Anolis sagrei: one gene and its partner. The protein of the gene in region 1 interacts with the protein of each later gene in a pairwise test. Links are inferred from orthologs where the notes say so. Each region holds a gene or a part of one and is shown on either strand. Other genes may lie near its edges.

Region 1 (10,486 bases):
TGTGTTTCAAATAACAGTAATAATAGGAAAAGAAAAAGGAGCAAATCCCAAGAAGAATTGGCTTTTGGGGAACATGGGGTGCATCTACAATGCAAAATTAATGCAGTTTGACACCCCTTTAACTGCCCTGGGATTGTGGGAGTTGTAGTTTTGCAAGGTCTTCAGTAGCCTTCACTTGCCAAGCTACAAATCGGAGGATTCCATAGCACTGAGCCATAGCCACTTAAAAGGGGTGTCAAGATGCATTCAGATGTATCCATAATAGTGTCAATTTAGGACTTCTTTGCTTTGGTTTTGCTTTTTTTGGATGCTATGCAAGTGTGAATCCAGCTTTTCTCTTCCAGGCAAAGGGGAAGGAAGGGGGCTTGGGAGGAGGGGAAGGGTAGTTTGGATGACAACTATGGGTTCCCGCCCCCTCCCTTCAGCCCCAACTTTAAGGAGAAACTTGCCTGAGAGCCGCGAATGGGAAGCCTTGCTGCAGCTGGGCTCAGTTACGCAGAAAGCGAAAGCAAAAGGCGGCCCCTCCTGCGCCTCTCTCGCTCGGCAAAGGCTCCCGCCTCCAGCCTCGAAAGTGGAAACCGCTCTCCCTCTTTCTCTCGCCCGCCTGCGTGGCTGCGGCGCCCTCGCTTCCCAACAGCGCCACCTGCTGGAATGAAGCGCCCAGCGCAGTTTGGCTCAAGCAAAGCCAAGTTGTCCCAGGAAAATATATACGCCCTTTCACTGCCCTTTGTAGCCCTGGGGCTCATTTACAAGCTGAGTAAATACACGAAGGTAGAAGAACGAGCAGTATAATCCTGATCAAATAATCACTGTGACACTTTGAAAACTGTATAAAAATGGTAACGCAGGGGGGAAAAATGCTGGCAAGAGTTTCTGTAACAAGAAGGAGAAAAGGAGCCATAGGAAAAAAATTCAGAATGTATTCTTAGAATTTAGTTGGAGGTCTAAGTTTCCCAAAGTATAGACTAGCATAGTTATATAGTATAGACTCTCTCTTTCTATTATATAATATCTGTATGTGCCGTCACACCCAGACCCTATAAAAATAAAACTAAGATGTCCTTCTCTCTTTGTCTGGGTGGACCGCGGGGGGTCTTTCTTTAGAAGCTTGAGATTCCCACAACTGAGGCTACTACAGGCTTTGAACATCAAAACAGAATATTTATTTCTCAACGTCCTTGCAGACTTGGCACAGCTTGTTAAAGTTACAAACAAAACAGTCAATTGGTGAAACCACAGAGATGTTCTTTCTTTTCCTTTTCTCTAGTCACTGAGCTGCCTTCATCCAAATGGTAGAAAAAATCCTGAGATCTTGTTACCCCAACCCTGAGCCACTATCTTTTAGAAAGCGTAGGCCTTCCCTATTCCAGCCCAAGGTTGGTTTTGGAGATGAAGCAAAAGGTGTTCAATAACTATTTCTCAATAACTCAATATCTATCTATAACTCAATAGCTCAATTACTCAATTGCTATTCTATCTCTGTTTCAATTAGCTTCTTTATAGTATCTCAATCAGCTTCTCTGTCTAAATAACTCAGTCATTCTTACAATGGTTTTTTTCAGAGTTACCTGCCTGACCAACAGCACATCTGAAGCTTTCTTTCTCTACTGAAGGAGGCAGGGGAGATTCCAAAATGGAGATCTCAACCGAGGAAAAAGGGCGGTCTCTAGACCCAAAGAGATACCTTTCTAAACCAATAACTGCAGAGGGCCTGCAGTCTGGCTTTCCAGACTCTGATACTGTTTAACTTCCAGGGTGCTGCTGGGTCTGTAGCAGCCCTGGGGAAATGCAAAGGAACACTATCCCATGCAACTAAAAGGTAATACAAACTATATTCCTGGAAGACAGAACACTATATAAATAAAAATGTAATGTTCATTTTTGGGATTAACATAACTCAAAAACTACTGGACGAATTGACACCAAATTTGGACGTGATACACCTATCAGACCAACGAGTGTCCATCACTCATAAAAACATTGAAAAACACAATGAAAGGGACTTAAAAAGCAAAAAAATAAAAAATAAATTACAACGCATGTGCAAAACCATATATATATATACACAAACACACATATACACAAATATATACACACAAAAAACACTTATACGCAAACTGGGCCACAGCAACGTGTGGTAGGGGATGGCTAGTATAATATATTATATTAATTATAGCCCTAAATAGTTCGGCTTACCTATCTCTACTTATGAACCAACTAGGACTTTAAGATCATCTGGAGAGGCCCTGCTCTCGATCCCGCCTTCCTCACAGATACATTTGGCGGGAATGAGTGACAGGGCCTTCTCAGTGGTGGCCCCTTGGCTAGGGAATGCCATTCCCAGGGATATAAGATCGGCTCCCTCCCTTCTAACATTCCCTCAAAATGGTTAAGACCTGGCTCTTCGAGCAAGTTTTTACTATTGGTACGGAATTAGATGAGAACTAATATATGGAACGACTGACAATGCAATTGGACAGCTATTTTAGTAAGGAGACGCCGAGGATTTTGTTTTTACAGGCTGTATTGTTTTTTATATCACATTTTAAATGTTTTAATTGTTTTTATAATTGTTTTAATTGTATTTTTATAATTTTTATGGCATCAAATCGCTGTGAACTGCCTTGAGTCGCCTCTGGCTGAGAAAGGTGATATACAAATGTGGTAAATAAATAAATAATGCATAATTAATTAATCAATGCTACAATTAATGATATAATGCAAGGTATTATATAATACTAATAGTATAATATGGGAAGCCCTGGCCCTTGAGCGCTCTAGCGGGTTAGCTGTGACCAGCAGTGATGTAGAATTTGAAGAGGCACAAATGGTGGGCGAAAGAGAGAAACGTGCCAAGAGGAAGGCGCATCAAGCCAACCCAGACCGGGACTGCCTTCCACCTGGAAACCAAAGCCCTCACTGCGTGAGAGCTCCACAGTCACCTATGGACCCACCTCTAGGACACCGCACTTGGAGGGCAATCTTACTCGGACAATGAGGGATCACCTAAGTAAGTAATAGTACAATATACTGGTGGTATATTATATGTGTTGTGGTATAATAATGTAGTACAATATAATAATAATAATAATAATAATAATAATAATAATAATAATTTTATTGTTACACCCTGCCTCCATCTCCCCAAAGGGACTCAGGGCGGTTTACAAAGGGACAAGCCCAGAGAGCACAAAGTTAAAAACTTTACACAATAATATAGCATTAAAACAAAACCAAATAAAAAACATATCCCAATAAAACAGAACATCATAATAACAGTACCAATCAGAATGATAAAAGTGTTGAGTTCAGAGGGCTCTGGGTTTGTGCAAATTCCTAGATAGAGCTAAGGGAAAGTGCAAAATTCATAAAGGCAGGGCTGGGAGAATAATGTTTATGGGCATTAAAATGTCAGGATTATAGAGTGGAGGGCCATGCTAAAGTGCTGGAACTTAATATTGGGCCAGTTCTTTGGAACTACCTAGTCAAATATAATTATAATATATTATATATTATTATACATTATATATTATGCATTATATATTATATTACTAATAATTGGGTTGCCTGAAAAACTCACAGCAACCCTGTGATTCCAGCCACAAAAGCCTTTGACAACACATTACTAATAATATCGAAGTATATTAGCATTAGTACAAGATAATAATATATAATATTAATATTCTTCTATGCTCATAATATAATATATTGTATATACATATAAAATTAATAATAATATTGTAATGCAATACAATATACTAATAATACAATATAATAATATATAATAATATTGTAATATAATAATGCTAATTTATTATGATTATTTATTTAGGGCATTTATATCCCGTTCTATACCTCCACAGAAGGACTCAGGGCAGCTAACAACCAGCACAGCATGGTGCCCACAATAAAAGAATAAATATACATAATATAATAAAACAGTATAAAAATGATATAAAAACATTAAATACAACACCGAATTCAGTCGTAATCCTAAAAGCAGTCCATCTTAGTCCATTAAAACCATAACTTTGCCAGCAAATCAGTCTAGTCCACAAAGGCCTGATACCACAGCCAGGATTTCACTTTTTTCAGATGACAGGAGAGATGGAGCAGATCTGATTTTGTTTGGGAGAGAATTCCATAGCCGAGGGGCCACCACAGAGAAGGCCCTGTCTCTCATCCCCACCAAGCGTGATTGAGATGGTGGGAGGACTGAGAGCAGGGCCTCCCCTGATGATCTTAAGGTCCTAGGTGGCTCATAGTGGCATTAATTATAATACTATTGATAATATATAATCATATGTAATGATAATACTGTTTTATTATTGTATATTTCTATATTTGAAGTTGCAATATTTTTAATTGCGAGCTGTTTGAATCTCTGGGTGGAGAGATAAAGCAGATGGTAAATAAATAAATAGCTATATAGTGAGCAGGGATATCTATCAATAGATAGAGTTATGTGGCAAAATATAGCTAGCAAAGCTTCTTTTTGCAAACTCTTTATTTATTTATTTATTTATTTGTCTGTACATTCCCACTTTTCACACTCCTTTGTCAAGTTGGAGTCCTTTTAGCAGCAAACACATTGGGAGAATGACAAAGTGATACTGGAAAAAGACAAGACATTCTGTGTCAGGTTTCAGCTCATAATAAATGGTGCAGTGAAGCTTGAGCTGGGAAAAGCCAGTTTTTATACTAGCTGATAGTACTTATATGCCTACTGACCGCAGACATGAAAAAAAAATCTCTTAATAAACACAAGGACAGCAAAATAGAAAAGGAGCAAGCAAATTAGCCTTCTTCAACAGCTACCCACAGTATATTGAAATAAACATACATATATCTGTAAGTTTAGCCAGTGAAATGGAAAACATAAGGCCAGTTGAAAGAAAATGTCATCCCTGGATGCATTTTGGAAGGAGGCTTCAAGTGTTCGAATTGTTTTTGTTTACTTAAGGAAGTTTTGCTAAGTTGTTTCCTTTCAGATATGCTTGCTGTCATTTGGGAATAAAAAAGTTTCTTTTAGCATGTTATACCGCTCTTCTTTTTTGTGGTGTCGTATTCTTATCCTTCCCATTATTTCTGTCTCTGGCACCTCATTTTCCGTTAAAGAAATAAGAACCTGGGAACATTTCTGCTTAGCTAACTGAAGTACGCCTGAACATCTTTGCCATTATTGTAATATAGTAAAAATGCTTATTTTTTAATTTTACTTTCGCTTTTGCCAACAGTAGCTTAAATGCTTTTATTTGCTTTTAAAAAGACTTTTAAAAGCCTTTTAAATGTTACAGCTCACTGGTTTGTTTGTACTACATAATCTCTCATCTACCTCATTGTTGCTTTTGAAAACTAGCAAGCGTATGAGGCAGCAAAAAGCAAAATACCAGGTTGTATGTAAGTTGGAACCTTCTCTATCACTTAGTGGTGGTCAGGAGCCTCCGATGGTGCAATGGTTTAAACCAGGGGTCCCCAAACTTTTTAAATGGAGGACCAGGTCACAGTCCCTCAAACTGTTGGAGAGCCGGATTATAATTTGAAAAAAAAAACCCCATGAATTCCTATGCACACTGCACATATCTTATTTGTAGTGTAAAAAACACTTAAAAGCAATACAATAATTAAAATGAGGAACAATGTTAACAAATATAAACTTATTAGTATTTCAATGGGAAATGTGGGCCTGCTTTTGGCTGATGAGATAGGATTGTTGTTGTTGTTGTTATGTACTTTCAAGTCATTTCAGACTTATGTTGACCCTGAGCGAGGGCCGGGTAAATGACCTTGGAGGGCCGCATCCGGCCCCCAGGCCTTAGTTTGAGGACCCCTGGTTTAAACCCTTGTGCTGGCAGGACTGAAGACCAACAGGTCAGAGGTTCGAATCCGGGGACAGCATGGATGAGCTCCCTCTGTCAGCTCCAAATTTTTTCAGTTCCGCATTTATTTTTTGCGGAATCCTAACTCTATTCTTGATTTTAAAAAATCAAAATAGATATTCTGGATCATTTTACGTTCAATCAGATACATTTTCTAATTTCCTATATAATGTCTAGTCTTTGAATAAATTGTGTTTCAAAGACTTAGGAAGTGTTTTTTGGAAGCAGTGCAATTTTGAGGCTTATTATAAGCATAGTTTTGCCATCTAAAGTAGAATTCCTGTGTATGCTTATTCATCTGAGGAACAAGTTTTCAATTTTCATGTGAGACAGATTGGGCATTGCACGCTTATAGGAACTACCAGTAATTAAGTCTGAATCAGCTGTATGAGGGATGAGTGTTTAATTCAGAAATGTCTTTGACTTGTTCCTCTTTCCTTAATGGTGATCCTTAGCAAATAAATAATAATCTGAAGATGAAACAACATATATTTAGAAGTCTGTCTTGAAGCTCCATAGTGTAAATATTAACAATTAGTTGCTCTCACTCATATAATCATGAGGTTTCTCTGTGAGTTCACTCTTCTATTTAAAGAAAGGTATCACTGAATTCTCCTGTTGCATTTCCTCCCATGAACTCGTACACAGTTGCCAAAATAACCCCTCTTCGTAAGTGGCAGCTTTAAAAACCAGACAACAGCTGAGTTTGAAAGAAGCGCAGCAACAGAGTAGCAGAACGTTGAACCGTGGACAGATTGGAGAGTTTCATACGAAGCAACGCATTTTCTTTTTTGTACTTTTGTATCCCTCAAAAGTTTTGTGGGTTTTTTTCTAATTTAAATATTTCCTTGGATAATTTCAAGATGAATATCCAGCCTTGTGCCAGATGTGGCTACGGGGTTTATCCCGCAGAGAAGATTAACTGTATTGATCAGGTCAGTATTGCTGTTCTTGGGCATAAGGGAAAAAGTTCTGATCTAATATAGCCACAAACATTATCTGAATAGCTAAACAACTATATGAATTTAAATCATTTAAAACAATCCTAAATTATTCTAATCTTTATAAATGATGATTGACTTTGATGTCAAACCTAAGATTTGCTGATAGTTAGCGAAACATTTTATGTCTCTTAAAGATTACATGACAGAAATAGATCTGCTTTTTTATACATGTATTGAATTGCCACAGAAGTAACTTTCACTGTATTCTTGTCCTTGCTATTTCCAGACATGGCATAAGGCCTGCTTTCACTGTGAAACCTGCAAGATGATGTTAACCGTAAATAACTTTGTCAGCCACCAAAAAAGACCTTACTGTCAAGCGTAAGTGTGTTTTGGTCTTGTAGCTAACAAATATTACAGGTTAAGTTTCCCTTATCTGGAATTCTGAAATCCAAAAAGCTCCAAAATTCAAAATTATCCACAAATGGGGCTGAAATAGTGACACTTTTGCTTTCTGACAATTGAATGTGCACAACATTTATGCACATTTCATGTACAGAATTATTTTAATAACTACCTTCAGGCTATGTTTGCAAGGTATATATGAAACATATATGAATTTCATATCTAGACCTGGGTCCATCTCTAAGATATCTGATTATGCACATAATATTTGTATATAGAAAAATTCCAAAAAATGCAAAATCCAAATACTTCTAGTCTCAAGCATTTCAGATAAAAAAAAACATAACCTGTGTTTATGGCTATGAAATTCATTATCAAGATACAAATGAATTTTGATGAAGTCTTGTCCAGATTATAAATTATTCCTTCCATCCTGGTCAAACTGCTTTTACTGTTTACATTCTTTTCTTACTGAATTTTAGTTATAGGAATTTCTTAAGTTATAAGCATACGGAAGCTCTATTTGTGCTTGCTGAGAGATTATGAAAAGTGTGATTCAAAACTGTATCCTTCCCAACCTCAGTTGCACAAGTGAACAAGTAAGCAAGCGAACAAAAACAGCTCCAGGCAGACTCACAGCATCTTAGATAGAAAATATGGTGTAAGAGTGTCTTCTGGGGTCTACAGCATTGAGTGGGAATTATGTGGCCCTTCAGATGTTGTTTAAGTGCAACTCTCAGCATTCTTCACTTTGAACTATGTTGGCTAGAGCTTGTTGTGAGTTGCATTCCAACAAGAGAACGGCCAAGTGATTCCCAAGTGAGTGTAGAGTCTTGTGGATTTGTGATGACATGCAAAGCCCTAAATGCCTTGGATCCTTGATACACAAGAGAAGGCTTATTTCCTGTATACACTTGTGGGAGCAACTGCTGTGGCGGCCTAGTTTTTGACCACCCTCTCCTAGAATGGTACCAACGCTGGAGTCATTCTGGCATCAGCAACAACAAGCTTTTGGAACCTGATTCCATACAAATTGCTATCTGTGCATCATTTTAAATTGTCCTCAAGTGTTTTGACTGGGTTTTAAAAAAATAGTTAAACAGCTTAATATGGCATTACAGAAAAGACCAGAGATACATCTCAAGATGTTCAAAAGATAGTTGTTTTGTTAGCAGTAAGGTTGTTAAGAAGGCGGGAAAGGGACTTCATGATCACTGTCCATAGACTCCAGAACTCCCTTCCCAGAAAGGCTAAAATAGCCCCTTCCTTGTTGTTTTCCCATCAGCAGAGAAAATTCTTTTTATTCCAACAGAGCTTTAAAATACAAAGCTTTTAAAGAATGAACTTAGGGTGTGCTGTATTTTTAAGTGAATTGTTTTGAATAGCTTTTTCGCTTATTTAAATTTCATTTTATTCTTTCAAATCAAAGTCTATTTTTTTAAATAATATGAATAATTTAATCCTATTTTAATGCTCACTTGAATGTTCCCAATTTGAATTGTTCTTTTCATTGTGAGCCACTTTGAATACTAATTTTGAGGAAAAGCATCATCATCAACTGCCCTCTTTTTAAAATAATAATAATAATAATAATAATACATTTTCAACAAGAATTTACATTTTTCTTTAGATGTAATGGATATTCCTGAGTGTCTCCTTTTTAAAATATACTTTTAACCTGTTCACATTATCTCATTATTTCACATAGTTCAACGTATTTTATTGAACAACGACCTGATTCTTTTAAGCGTAATGATAGATGTAACATTTTAGTCAATTAAACTAAATTTAACCACCATTAAAGTATAACTGAAATCACATGAATTCATTTAAAAATAATTAATATTGTATTTAAGGGACTCAAAATGACAGTTTAACTTTACATTGACTCTTTGAGACTAATTATGTTAAGAATCGAACTAGATGGATTATGAAAAATCAATTTAGAAAATCTTTCTTTACTCCTGAAAAAAATAAGATTTTATTCCATTTTTATTTAATAGCAGTAATAGATCTCTCTGTCTCCCTCCCTCTTTCTTCTTACATTTTCATATCATGATGATGATCATTTTCATTTGTATCCTAACTTTCCCCTGATAATGGGAGTCGGGATAACAACCAGCATATTAAATAAATATGTTAAAAACAATAAAAAGATATTAAAAGCATAACATTACAAAAATAAACAGTTTGCAAATTAAAATATTAAATATTACAAATATTAAAATACCTGGATGTAAGTCATTAATGGCTTTAATTGTGTCCAGAAATTGCTCCCTGTAGCCAGCCCTAGGCTGCATTTTCATTTTATCATGGCATTTTAATGTGAAAGGGGACTGAATCAGCTCTGTGGTGGTATCACAATGCATGGTACTATTTAGCTTCGTGCGGCCTTGAACCACAATAACAGAAGTCATGGGATACTCAGGAGTTTCCCTACGATTTCGAGCACTTGTAATCAGTTGTGCCACTTCCTAATTGAGATGTGGCCACACTTGGTTACACCACCACCCCATGTTCGGCCCGCGAGCAGGAGATAGCACCTACTTTGCCCCCTTGATAGGCCATTTACAGTGCCTAGTGGACATGAAAACGGAGTTGTTCATTACTCAGCCCAGTGCTATTCTGTTCTGGAGTACTCCACTCTGGATCAGCATCATTTATTGCCCTGTCAAGATGCACCCCTAATTTGCAATCTGGCTGTAGCTCTTTGAACCAACAGAACACTTTTCAAAGACAACCCCACATCGAGAGCATAACAATAATTCAAATGGGATGTACCACACATTTATTTATTTATTTATTATTTAGAGTTTTTATACCCCAGTCTTTTCACCTCCGGGGGTAGTTCTCAAGAAACAGGACAATGAATATTCCCCATGTCTCAGCACCAATATGAGACACCCATTCCATAGCTGTCATTCAGGGTTCTGGTTTTAAATAAAGTGCAGAACCTATTTATGGCTATTCTTTATCATGCTGAGTCATGCTTTCCCAAAACCATATATGATGAGTCTTTTAATTGAAGGAGACTTGTTTGGGTTTCTCACAGCCTAAACCAAAGCTTAGCCACATGCAGTTATTATTGTAGTATAAGAGATTCAAAACAAGCCAGAAACCAGAAGCAGCTCAAATGCCCAGAGGCATATTCTGGGTTCAGTATACATTCTTGCAGTGGGATTTGTTAGAAAGACACTATTATTGAATACTAGGCATGTGTGATTGATAAAAAAAAAGTTTCAAATGTCATTACAAAAT
Region 2 (9,634 bases), on another chromosome or scaffold:
ATCAACCTACGTGGCGTCGTAGCATAATACAGAATCCAGGGATTCTTCAGTTTGGAGATCTTTGCCTGCAATAACGTAGATTTTGTTTTCTGATTCTCCTAATCCAAAAAGGCATCTGGCTGATGGCAGTGGAGGAAGTCCAGCCCATTCAGAAGTGATGGTATCCAACTATTTCCAAATGTAAGAATAAGAAATGACAGCATGTTTAGCATAACAATTGCAAACAACCACAAAACAGCTAATAAAAGAGACTATGATTTTTTCACCCCATCTCATCACCTCTCATGAACACCCTCTTGATGGTTCTCGCCCCCATACTATGCTTGTGTATCATAACAGATTTTTGAAAATTTCCTCTACCACATGTCCCCCTGATAATTATCAAGGTTTGCCACTTGTGCTTTTGGATTTGCACCTCCATTGTTGTTTTTATTTAAAGTCTATTTTCTATAGGTTTTTTAAATTTTCCCTAAAGATTCTTCTATTTATTTGGATCTAATTCTCACCAATGTAGCAATGCTATGTCTTAAATACAGTCCCAATTAGAATAGGCCTATTGCATCCGTGGAATTTACCTAAGTATGTTTTACTTCTCTTAACCTATCAGTTCGAAACATGCAAATGTGAGTAGGTACTGCTTTGGAGGGAAGCTAATGGTGTCCCATGCAGTCATGCCAGCCACATGACTTTGGAGGTATCTATGGACAACGCCAGCTCTTCAGCTTAGAAATGGAGATGAGCACCATCCTCCAGAGTCAAACACAATTAGACAATGTCAAGGGGAAACCTTTACCTTTGCCTTATGATCTTTTTCAGAAGTGCTCTTGTGAAAATTTGCAATGCCCTTGTGTGAAACCTTGTACACAGGACTGAACAGTTGAAATTAATATTCCTAGCACTTTTACCAAATGCATTAAATGTTTTCACCTTTCTCAAATGCATTACTTGCTCCAAGAAGCTCTGTTTCCTTTTTTTTGGAAAGGCAGACATGGGATACATCTATTCTACACTGTAGAATTAATTTAGTTTGACATCATTTTAAATTCCATGGTTCAATACTATGGAATCCTGGAAGTTGTAGTTTGGTGAAGCACCAGCCCATTTTGGCAGAGAATGCTAAAGATCTGGCAAATGACAACTCCCATGAAACTATAGCTATGAAACTGCAAACTGCATTAATTCTACAGAGTAGATGCACCCATGGCCACTGTGTATTTTTCTTCTACATCCAAGTGAGTTAATATTTTTGTTGCTGTCAGCTGATTTTTCTTGAAATGTATAAGAAGTCTGTAGATATTATAAGGTGAGAATGAGCTTATGTTCTGCCTCCTGTCTGCACTTGGCTTTCAGAAAAAGATCATTGTTGCTGTATCACAAAAGATATCAGTTGAATTAATACTTTGGTGAAGATCCTGTGTGCCAACGCCAAGCCTAATGGAAGAGCTTTAAGGTGGAAATTGTCTACATTTTTTTTTTGCTTCTAAGGTATATTTAAGAGAGCATCTTTAATGCTTTGATTTCTCTGTGCATTTTCTTGGTTTCTCAGTACAATTTTAATTAAGTTCCCGAGTCTGTTCTATTAACTGCTGCTCCTTAGAAACTTCTTGTCCACCAGACTTCATATGTGCTCCCTACAGAGGTTCCAAACTCATTAAGTATGCATTGTCATGATTCCTAACATTCATAGTAGTTAATTTGACATCTGTCCTTCCTAACTTTAAATTAAGAGGAGTTTCTCATTATATCTGATGTCTCCTCTATGCTCAAACTCTGGTTTGTTCAAGCAATAAGGAGCAACCCATCAACCCAACAGACCTCACAACCTCTGAGGATGCTTGCCACAGATGCAGGCGAAACGTCAGGAGAGAATGTTTCTAGAGCATGGCCATACAGCCTGAAAAACCAACAACAACCCAGTGATTCTGGCCATGAAAGGCTTCGACAATACATACAACCCATTGTTGTTTACAATCCTGATGTGTTAACAAACTGATGGTTATCCATTGACTAAAGTAATCAGTGTCCTCAAATCCAGATACAACAGGGAATTCTAACTGGCTTATAAGCAGAAGCAGATTGTTCTGATGTCCTCACAGCCTCACCACAAGAGACAAAGGAGCGAACATGCAAACTCAAGGCTGGTTGTGATTTTTGACCTAGAATCCTACAAGTCCTTGGGTTTCACACTGAGGAATCTGATCTGCAAGGGAAAAGCAATGGCTATAATATCTACTTCCTGTACTGAAATGAATGAAAGAGGAAACTCTTGTGAGGGGAAGAGCTCCATCTGCATGGTGAAGATAGACTGTAGCCATCAGAAATGGAAATATCAAACTAAATTAAGGAAAATTAGAAGACCAGAGTAGAAAATGCATAGACAAGGCACATGAAATATCTGAGAACATAAATTATACTGGACCAAACCAAAAAACCTATATATATTACCATTCTCGTCACAGAATGGCAAACCAGTTTCTATGAAAACTTTCCAAAAACTGTAACTACAGCCTCTAGTATTCGTGAGCACAGATATGCAGATACATAGTACTGTCAACTGATAGTCAACTGATAGTCCATTCTTCTTCTAAAGTATTTTTAAAACCTTTTAAGAGCCATCATTCCATCACATGCTAAATGTTCACCTGAACTGGCATATAAAAGAGTAGGATCATGTCAATAATCTTTGATCCTATCCCATTTCTCTTTTAGCAAAATGTCTCATTCACCTATGTCAAATGCAAGACCCGCGGACCAAATCCGGCCCATAAAATCATTCTATGTGCCCTGTGGAACTTTCAGTGTTAAGGTAACATAGTTATATTTATAAAATCTTACAATTACAAACAGCCCTTTGAAAGAAACCCTAAGACTGATGTGGCCTTTCATGAAAATGGGTTTGATAACCCTGGTCTAAAGGAACACACAGGAACAAATAGTTGGCTCTTCTGGACTGATGGTACTTCCAAGGCATGCTATGATCAAATGCCGTCCAGTCAAATGTCTCAGTTGTGCTGTTACAACAGAGTGGCACAGTGCCACCATTTCTGTTATAAAATCAATAAAACCCACTTTAATTTACATGTACATTTCTCAGGCCGACACAGCATTAAATAAGTTCTATTTAAAATATTTTAAAAAGCTTTTGGGGTGGGGGAAGGGATATAGTGGAAATGAGTTCATGGAATCCTAGAGTTGGAAGACACTTTGTGGGCCATCCAGTCCAACCCTCTGCCAAGAAGCAGGAAAATCGCATTCAAAGCACACCTAACAGATGGCCATCCAACCTCTGCTTAAAAGTCTCCAAAGAAAGAGTCTCCACCACACTCCAGGTCAGAGAGTTCCACTGCTGAACAGCTCTCACAGTCAGGAAGTTCTTCCTAATGTTCAGGTGGAATCTCCTTTCCTGTAGTTTGAAGCCATTATTCTGTGTCCTAGACTTCAGGACAGCAGAAAACAAGCCTGCTCCCTCCTCCCTATGACTTCCCCTCACATATTTATACATGGCCATCATGTCTCCTCTTAGCCTCTCAGATAGCTTAGAATATGCTAGTATTATCTAGAAAGCAGGACTGAAAAATTATGTGATACATTCTTAAGCATCTGTAGACCTCTAGTCAGAAATGATGCTGAATTAGGATACAGAAATGCAAAACTTGCAGAGACCAAGAGATAATGAATTTAAAAGATTGCTTTCCAAAAGTCCACAGAAAAGCAATGTCTTTTAGGATGTGGACTTAACTTTTTAAAATCAATTTACCCCTCTGCAGAACTGAAATGACAATGAGAAACGTAAGATTTATACCTGGAAAAAGTATGACTGGAAAGGGGCTTCCTTGTTCTCTTCATCCACGTACAGTCCTCCCACCACATAGACCTGCTTCTGTTTTGTGACAATGCTGGAATGATTTCTAGGAATCTGTTCTGACAGGGCTACCAGGTAACATTCATTCTCTGTAGGATCATATGCCACAGAAGCTGTATCATTGATGAGAAGAATGAGGTCTTTGGTAAACATTCCATGCCTTGGAATATCATTCAGACACCCAGGGAGTAAGTCCTCATCCCCGACATCACCATTAACCTCTCCTTGGGCTGACTTTCCCGCACCTTTGGTCGGTTCAGGCATTTTCCCAGTGAATGCATCTTTTATCAACTTGATCTTTTTGGAAAGATCAGGGTTAGTTTTGATTATATCATCTTTTTCAACATGCTCCTTGAAGTATTTCTCATCCATCAGCCGAAAACGGATACAGTCAAAGATCTCTACAAGAGTCTTCATTCTGTTTTCTTTATCTTTCTTCACCCACCTCATTACGGCTTCGAAAACCACTTCCTCCTTTTCAACGTTCAAGCCATCTTGTGAAATAATCGAGATGAGTTCATGGGGGGCGAGCTGTATGAAATCCTCTTCTTTGCAAATCTTCACAAAGTGGTCTGACACAAAATCACGGGCAGAAAGTGCAAGTCTTGGGCAGTCGAGGAGGATACCAAGCCTGAGGATGGCCAAGCAGTTACCTACAGCAAGCCTTTTCTGAAGATAGGAAACACACACGGTGAACACGGAGGGGATTTGAAAGCGGCTCGCCAAGGCAAAAATATCTTGAACGTTTGAATCATTGAGGTCAATGCTGGCAGAATAAAGGTACTTCACAATCATGTCAAGGGTGAGAGGGTCAACATTGTCAAGGACTACCTCTTTCTTTTTCTCCTCACTTTGCTCAGATAAGAAGTACTCCCGGAAATAAGGACTACAGGCCGACAGAATCAGTCTGTGGCACGGAAGGCTTTTATCCCCAGCTTTAAGGGAGCAATCGACAAACCTTTTCTCTTCCAAAAGCTCCCTGAGGCCATCTTGCAGAAGAGTGGATTGATAAAGCCGAAGCTCTTCAGTGAGTTCTCTTTGAGAATCCATTTTGTGGAGATCTGGACAAGGAGCTAAGGGAGAGAGCCCTCTTGTTGGTACTTAGGTCTGCCTGGAAAAGGCAGATCAGTGCACTTTGCCCAGCTTGAAGGTCCTGTAATTTAATCTTGACAGCTAAATATAGATACAGACTTTCACAAACTGGAATTTCGAATGGATGGTGTGGAAAGAAGAGTGGGGCTTGCAGCTGTCATGGGTTGAAAGAAGCAACTGTTGCTTTTAGTCACTAAGGAATCAGTTTTACTTGGTTACACACATTGAATCACTGAGATTACTTGTAGAATATACTTAGATCCCTACATTAGCAAGGAGTCAGAATTAGATCTAAAGGTAGTTGCTATGGAATAGGTCCCAAAAACATACTTGTTACTACCCTCAAGCATGATTTCAAAATATGGAATCATCAGGTGAACGTATGATGTTCATTCATAAAATCATTTAAATATATTTTAGACCAGTTGTTCCCAACCTTTTTTTGACCAGGGACCACTTGATCAGAAACCACTTGACCAGGGACCACTCTCCAACATTAGTACCAAAGGGGTTATGAATCATTTTTTGGTCAACTTTGGTTTGGTTATTTGAGCTGCTGATTCAAAAAACTGCATTGGATAGACCACATCAGTTCTAATTTCTGATACAGAACATATGCCATCCAGTAGCTGCCATCTGTTCGCCCACCAAAAACCATATTTAATAATCTAGAGTTGATGTGGTAGTGGTAATCTTTCGTGGGTAGTCAGCCTCTCCCCTCCCGACATTCCTGTTGCTTCGGCACTATGAGAGAGTTTTGTGAGACCGTCGCCCTCGTTGCAACGTGGCTTCGAGGCAACAGTGTTGTAATGGTGAGGCCATGGACCATATTTTTGTTCTGGGGGACCACTGGTGGTCCATGGACCACAGGTTGGAAACCACTGTTTCAGACAAATGAAAGCATTTCATACTCCTAGAAAAATAAACACCTGTGTAATCAATATCTAAAAGGTTATTTGTGTCTTGTTAAGATATTTAGCTGTTACACAATGGTAATGGTTAATAATGAGAAGACAGGAAAGCTTGGAGAAGACAATGATGCTGGGGAAAATGGAAGGAAAAAGGATAAGATAGATAGATGATATCCTTGAAGTAACTGGTTTGACCTTGAAGGAGCTGGGGGTGGCCACGGCCAACAGGGAGCTCTGGAGTGGGCTGATCCATGAGGTCACAAAGTTGGAAACAACTGAATGAATGAACAACAATAATTGGTTGAAAGCACTGACCAATTCAATAAAAGAGAGAGAGAGAAAGGAAGTATACAACAAATCAATAAAAATGTGGATCAAGTCCCAAAATTTAAATGCATTTTTAATAATCTCGTTAGTGCTTTACATGTGGGCTAGACATAAATGCCCATTCAGACTGGGGGATATGTTGCACAGCATATAAAACCAGAAATGGGCTCAATACAAAAGAATACCTCCTGGAATCCAACAAAACAGACAATAGTTAATAACAAATTCTTAGGTTCCAATTTATAGGAAAGTTATTCAAAACTTGTCATTTGATAAATTTTACTGAAAGTCACCTTTGTACCTTTAATACAGAATAGATACCACCAAAAGTCATGGAATGGATGTAGAACAAATTAGTCACATGTAATTGTTGAGTTTTTGGGTTCTGACTAATGACTACTCTGAAGTGACGCCATCACTGGGTTTTCTTGGTAGAATTTGTATAGAAGGATTTCCCTTTGTCTTCCTCTAAGGCTGGGAGTGTGTGATTTTTCCATGGTCACCCAGTGAGTTTTCATGACTCTGTGGGGAATTGAACTTTGACCTCACAGTGACCTAGTTTAACATTCAAACCACTACACCACACTGGTTCTCATAGCCATATTAAAATGTAAAAATCAGTCCTAGGTGATGCGGATGATATTGAATATAATGTGACTGAAGTGTGACTGCCTCAATCTGAATTCAACTCTATATGAGTAGGAAAGTTTAAATGGGCGTCTCTCAATGTATACTCGAAAGATCAGCTGCTACAACAACAGCTGGATAGACAGGTCATTTGACATTCTTCCATTTATAGAGATGGAAGACATGCAGTTACCTCATGTAAAATCATACCAGCTGCCCCTCTCAAACAATAAATGACATTTCATTTTGAATGCAACACTGTTGGTTCACTGGATAGATACAGCTATTATGCTGTTCCTTTAACTTCTACCCTTAAAAACAAAGCTGAACTGGATTTTTAAATTAGATTATTAGTAGTTGATTTCTGCTTGGGGTTCACCTAAGGGCCACATAATTTGCTGGTTTTTTTTATCATGTCAGAAGCAACTTGAGAACATACTGCAAGTCACTTCTGGTGTGAAAGAATTGGCTGTCTACAGAGAGACGTTGCCCTGGGGTTGCCTGGATGTGTTAGCTGGGAGGCTTCTCTAATGTCCCCACAAGTTAGAGCTGACAGATGGGAACTCAACCTGTCTCGTGGATTCGAACCAGCAACCTTCAGGTCAACAACCCAATCTTCAGCTCAACAGTTCAGCTGGCACAAGGGTTTAACCGATTGCATCACTGCAAAAAAAAAATAATTGCTGGTGATTTTGCTGTGATAACTTCCTGTTATATATTCCTTATCAACACAGAAACTGAATTCATGCCATTTGAATGCTTTATATATTCCCAAAGGTTTTTATTTTACATTTCATATAGAATATGTTTAGTAAGATGATGGTTTGGCGATAGGGACTGGATGTAGAAAAGTCAACAAATAAATAAAGAATGAGGAAATACATCACCAAAGAACATGAATTAACATTTCCTAGATTTTATGTTACGGACAGAGCATATTCACCAACAATGAAGTATTTTGGGTTCAAATCTGTGGCAGTAATAGCTAGGGAACATATGGTGAAGGATTTAATATGTACATTTTGTATTGTATAATATGAAAGACACATAATAATAATAATAATAATAATAATATTTATTATTATTATTATTATTATTATTATTATTATTTTATTATTTCTAACCCACCTCTCCTCGTGGCTTGGGGTGAGTAACGACATGTTCAATAGTCACTTTCCTGGAAGGATTACATTTGGCATAAATATTCTATTGGCATCTAAAATATTCTGCTGAGATTAATAGCAGGTTTCTTTTCATCCAATGGAATAACTTGTTGAATTCTGTTATTAAAGACAGTGATTGTAGACATTTTACATTTGAAATATATGTTTTCGCAGTCCCATTGTCTGCTCTTATATAAATGTGTCAGTTTGTTACTTTCAGGGAAAAATTCAACAATGCCAACCTTATTGGTTTGAGCTCCAGATAATGTCTGATTTCTTATAAAGCTGTCATTCTTTTTCTGCATTCCTTTGGCACTTGTGAGAAAAGAAATTCGACTTTGCTACCACCTTTTGGCTCCTTACTCCTCTTCGGCCACAGATCCTACTGAACCGCATCACACGATGCAGGCCATGGCCTCACCCCAATGATGGCTGAAGTGGTGAGGAAATGTTGCAAGATACTTCCTCGCCAACCAAAGTAACCATGGTTGGCGAGGAGCTACCCTTTCCCCCATCTGATGGGAGAAGGAATAGGGCACCAATGCACCTTGATACCCCCATGTGATAGGGAAAGGAGGGAGGGCGCATGGGTTGCTATGAGGCAGCATGCCAGTGTTGTTTGCAGGCGAAACGTAACAAAATAGAGCGGGGGGGGGGGGGGGGGGGCATCTATAATGAGGTCCCATTGAACAATATTCTGTAACCCGACATGACTACCTTATTTAACAATTGATTTGTTATTTGAGACCAAAGACTTCTAAGTGACATTAATCTTCCTCTTACTGGTGCTACATTTCTGTCAATACTAGGTTCTTCCTCTCCGTGGAAAGGTGCTATTACTAGTGTTCAACATACTGGCCTAGTTTACCAAATTGTAGTCTCTGTTTAACTCTTTGATTCTGGTATCTATAGCACTAACCATCACACATTTGCCTCAAATGTTAGACTTGTTTCTGGGTATATTTGACCTGCAGATTTAAAAAATGGCCCCAGTTTTCCTTTATTAGATCTACTTTTTGATACAGAACATATGTCAATTGCCATCTGCTTGCCCATAGAAAACCATAACAACCATAAGAAACTAGAGCTGATGCAATCTATCCAATGCAATTTTCTGAATAAGCGTCCCAAATAATCCCAGGAACAGGCCTAAAAAACCAAGCCTGAATCATCCTCTTTCTACTCACAAGGAATAAGTCAAATCATACCCACTCCTAAAGGGTCTCCTATCATATTGTCTCTTATGAAAAGGCCTTATCATCTTTTTTCTCTCTCTTTTTAATTCACATATTATCTAGTGCTTCTCCCCAAAAGAATAATTCCCCTTTAAATGGCATGAAGACAAAAAATATTTTTAGATTTGGAATTTGCTTCCCAATGTCGTAATCAGTGATCACCTTCCTATCCTTATCACATTGATGGTTCGTGCTGCTAAGGTTGTTGCATCATGATATGCATCAGCTATGAATTACAATACTTTTGTTATCCTTTTCAATGCCTTATTAAGTGTTTGTATGTCTAATTCCTGTGTGGAACTTGTAATATCATGGCTCAAACAAACATTGATACTGATGTAGATGCTCTCAAAGTCTTAGCTGATGCTTCATGAGTTTTTTTCATGATTATATCTGCTCTCCTTTCATCCACCTCTT

Evidence for each region.
Region 2: the proteins of NRAP (region 1) and KLHL41 interact in binary tests that used the Homo sapiens proteins (3 or more experiments, as listed by UniProt). The link is inferred for Anolis sagrei from reciprocal best matches to the Homo sapiens genes NRAP and KLHL41.

What each region holds. Positions count from the first base shown.
Region 1 is NC_090023.1:207,215,112-207,225,597, forward strand, and holds the start of NRAP (nebulin-related-anchoring protein), read left to right. Parts: upstream 1-6,590; 5' UTR 6,591-6,742; coding exon 6,743-6,814; intron 6,815-7,109; coding exon 7,110-7,204; intron 7,205-10,486. UniProt on the Homo sapiens protein: May be involved in anchoring the terminal actin filaments in the myofibril to the membrane and in transmitting tension from the myofibrils to the extracellular matrix.
Region 2 is NC_090021.1:194,933,494-194,943,127, forward strand, and holds the start of KLHL41 (kelch-like protein 41), read right to left. Parts: upstream 5,004-9,634; 5' UTR 4,913-5,003; coding exon 3,803-4,912; intron 169-3,802; coding exon 11-168; intron 1-10. UniProt on the Homo sapiens protein: Involved in skeletal muscle development and differentiation. Regulates proliferation and differentiation of myoblasts and plays a role in myofibril assembly by promoting lateral fusion of adjacent thin fibrils into mature, wide myofibrils.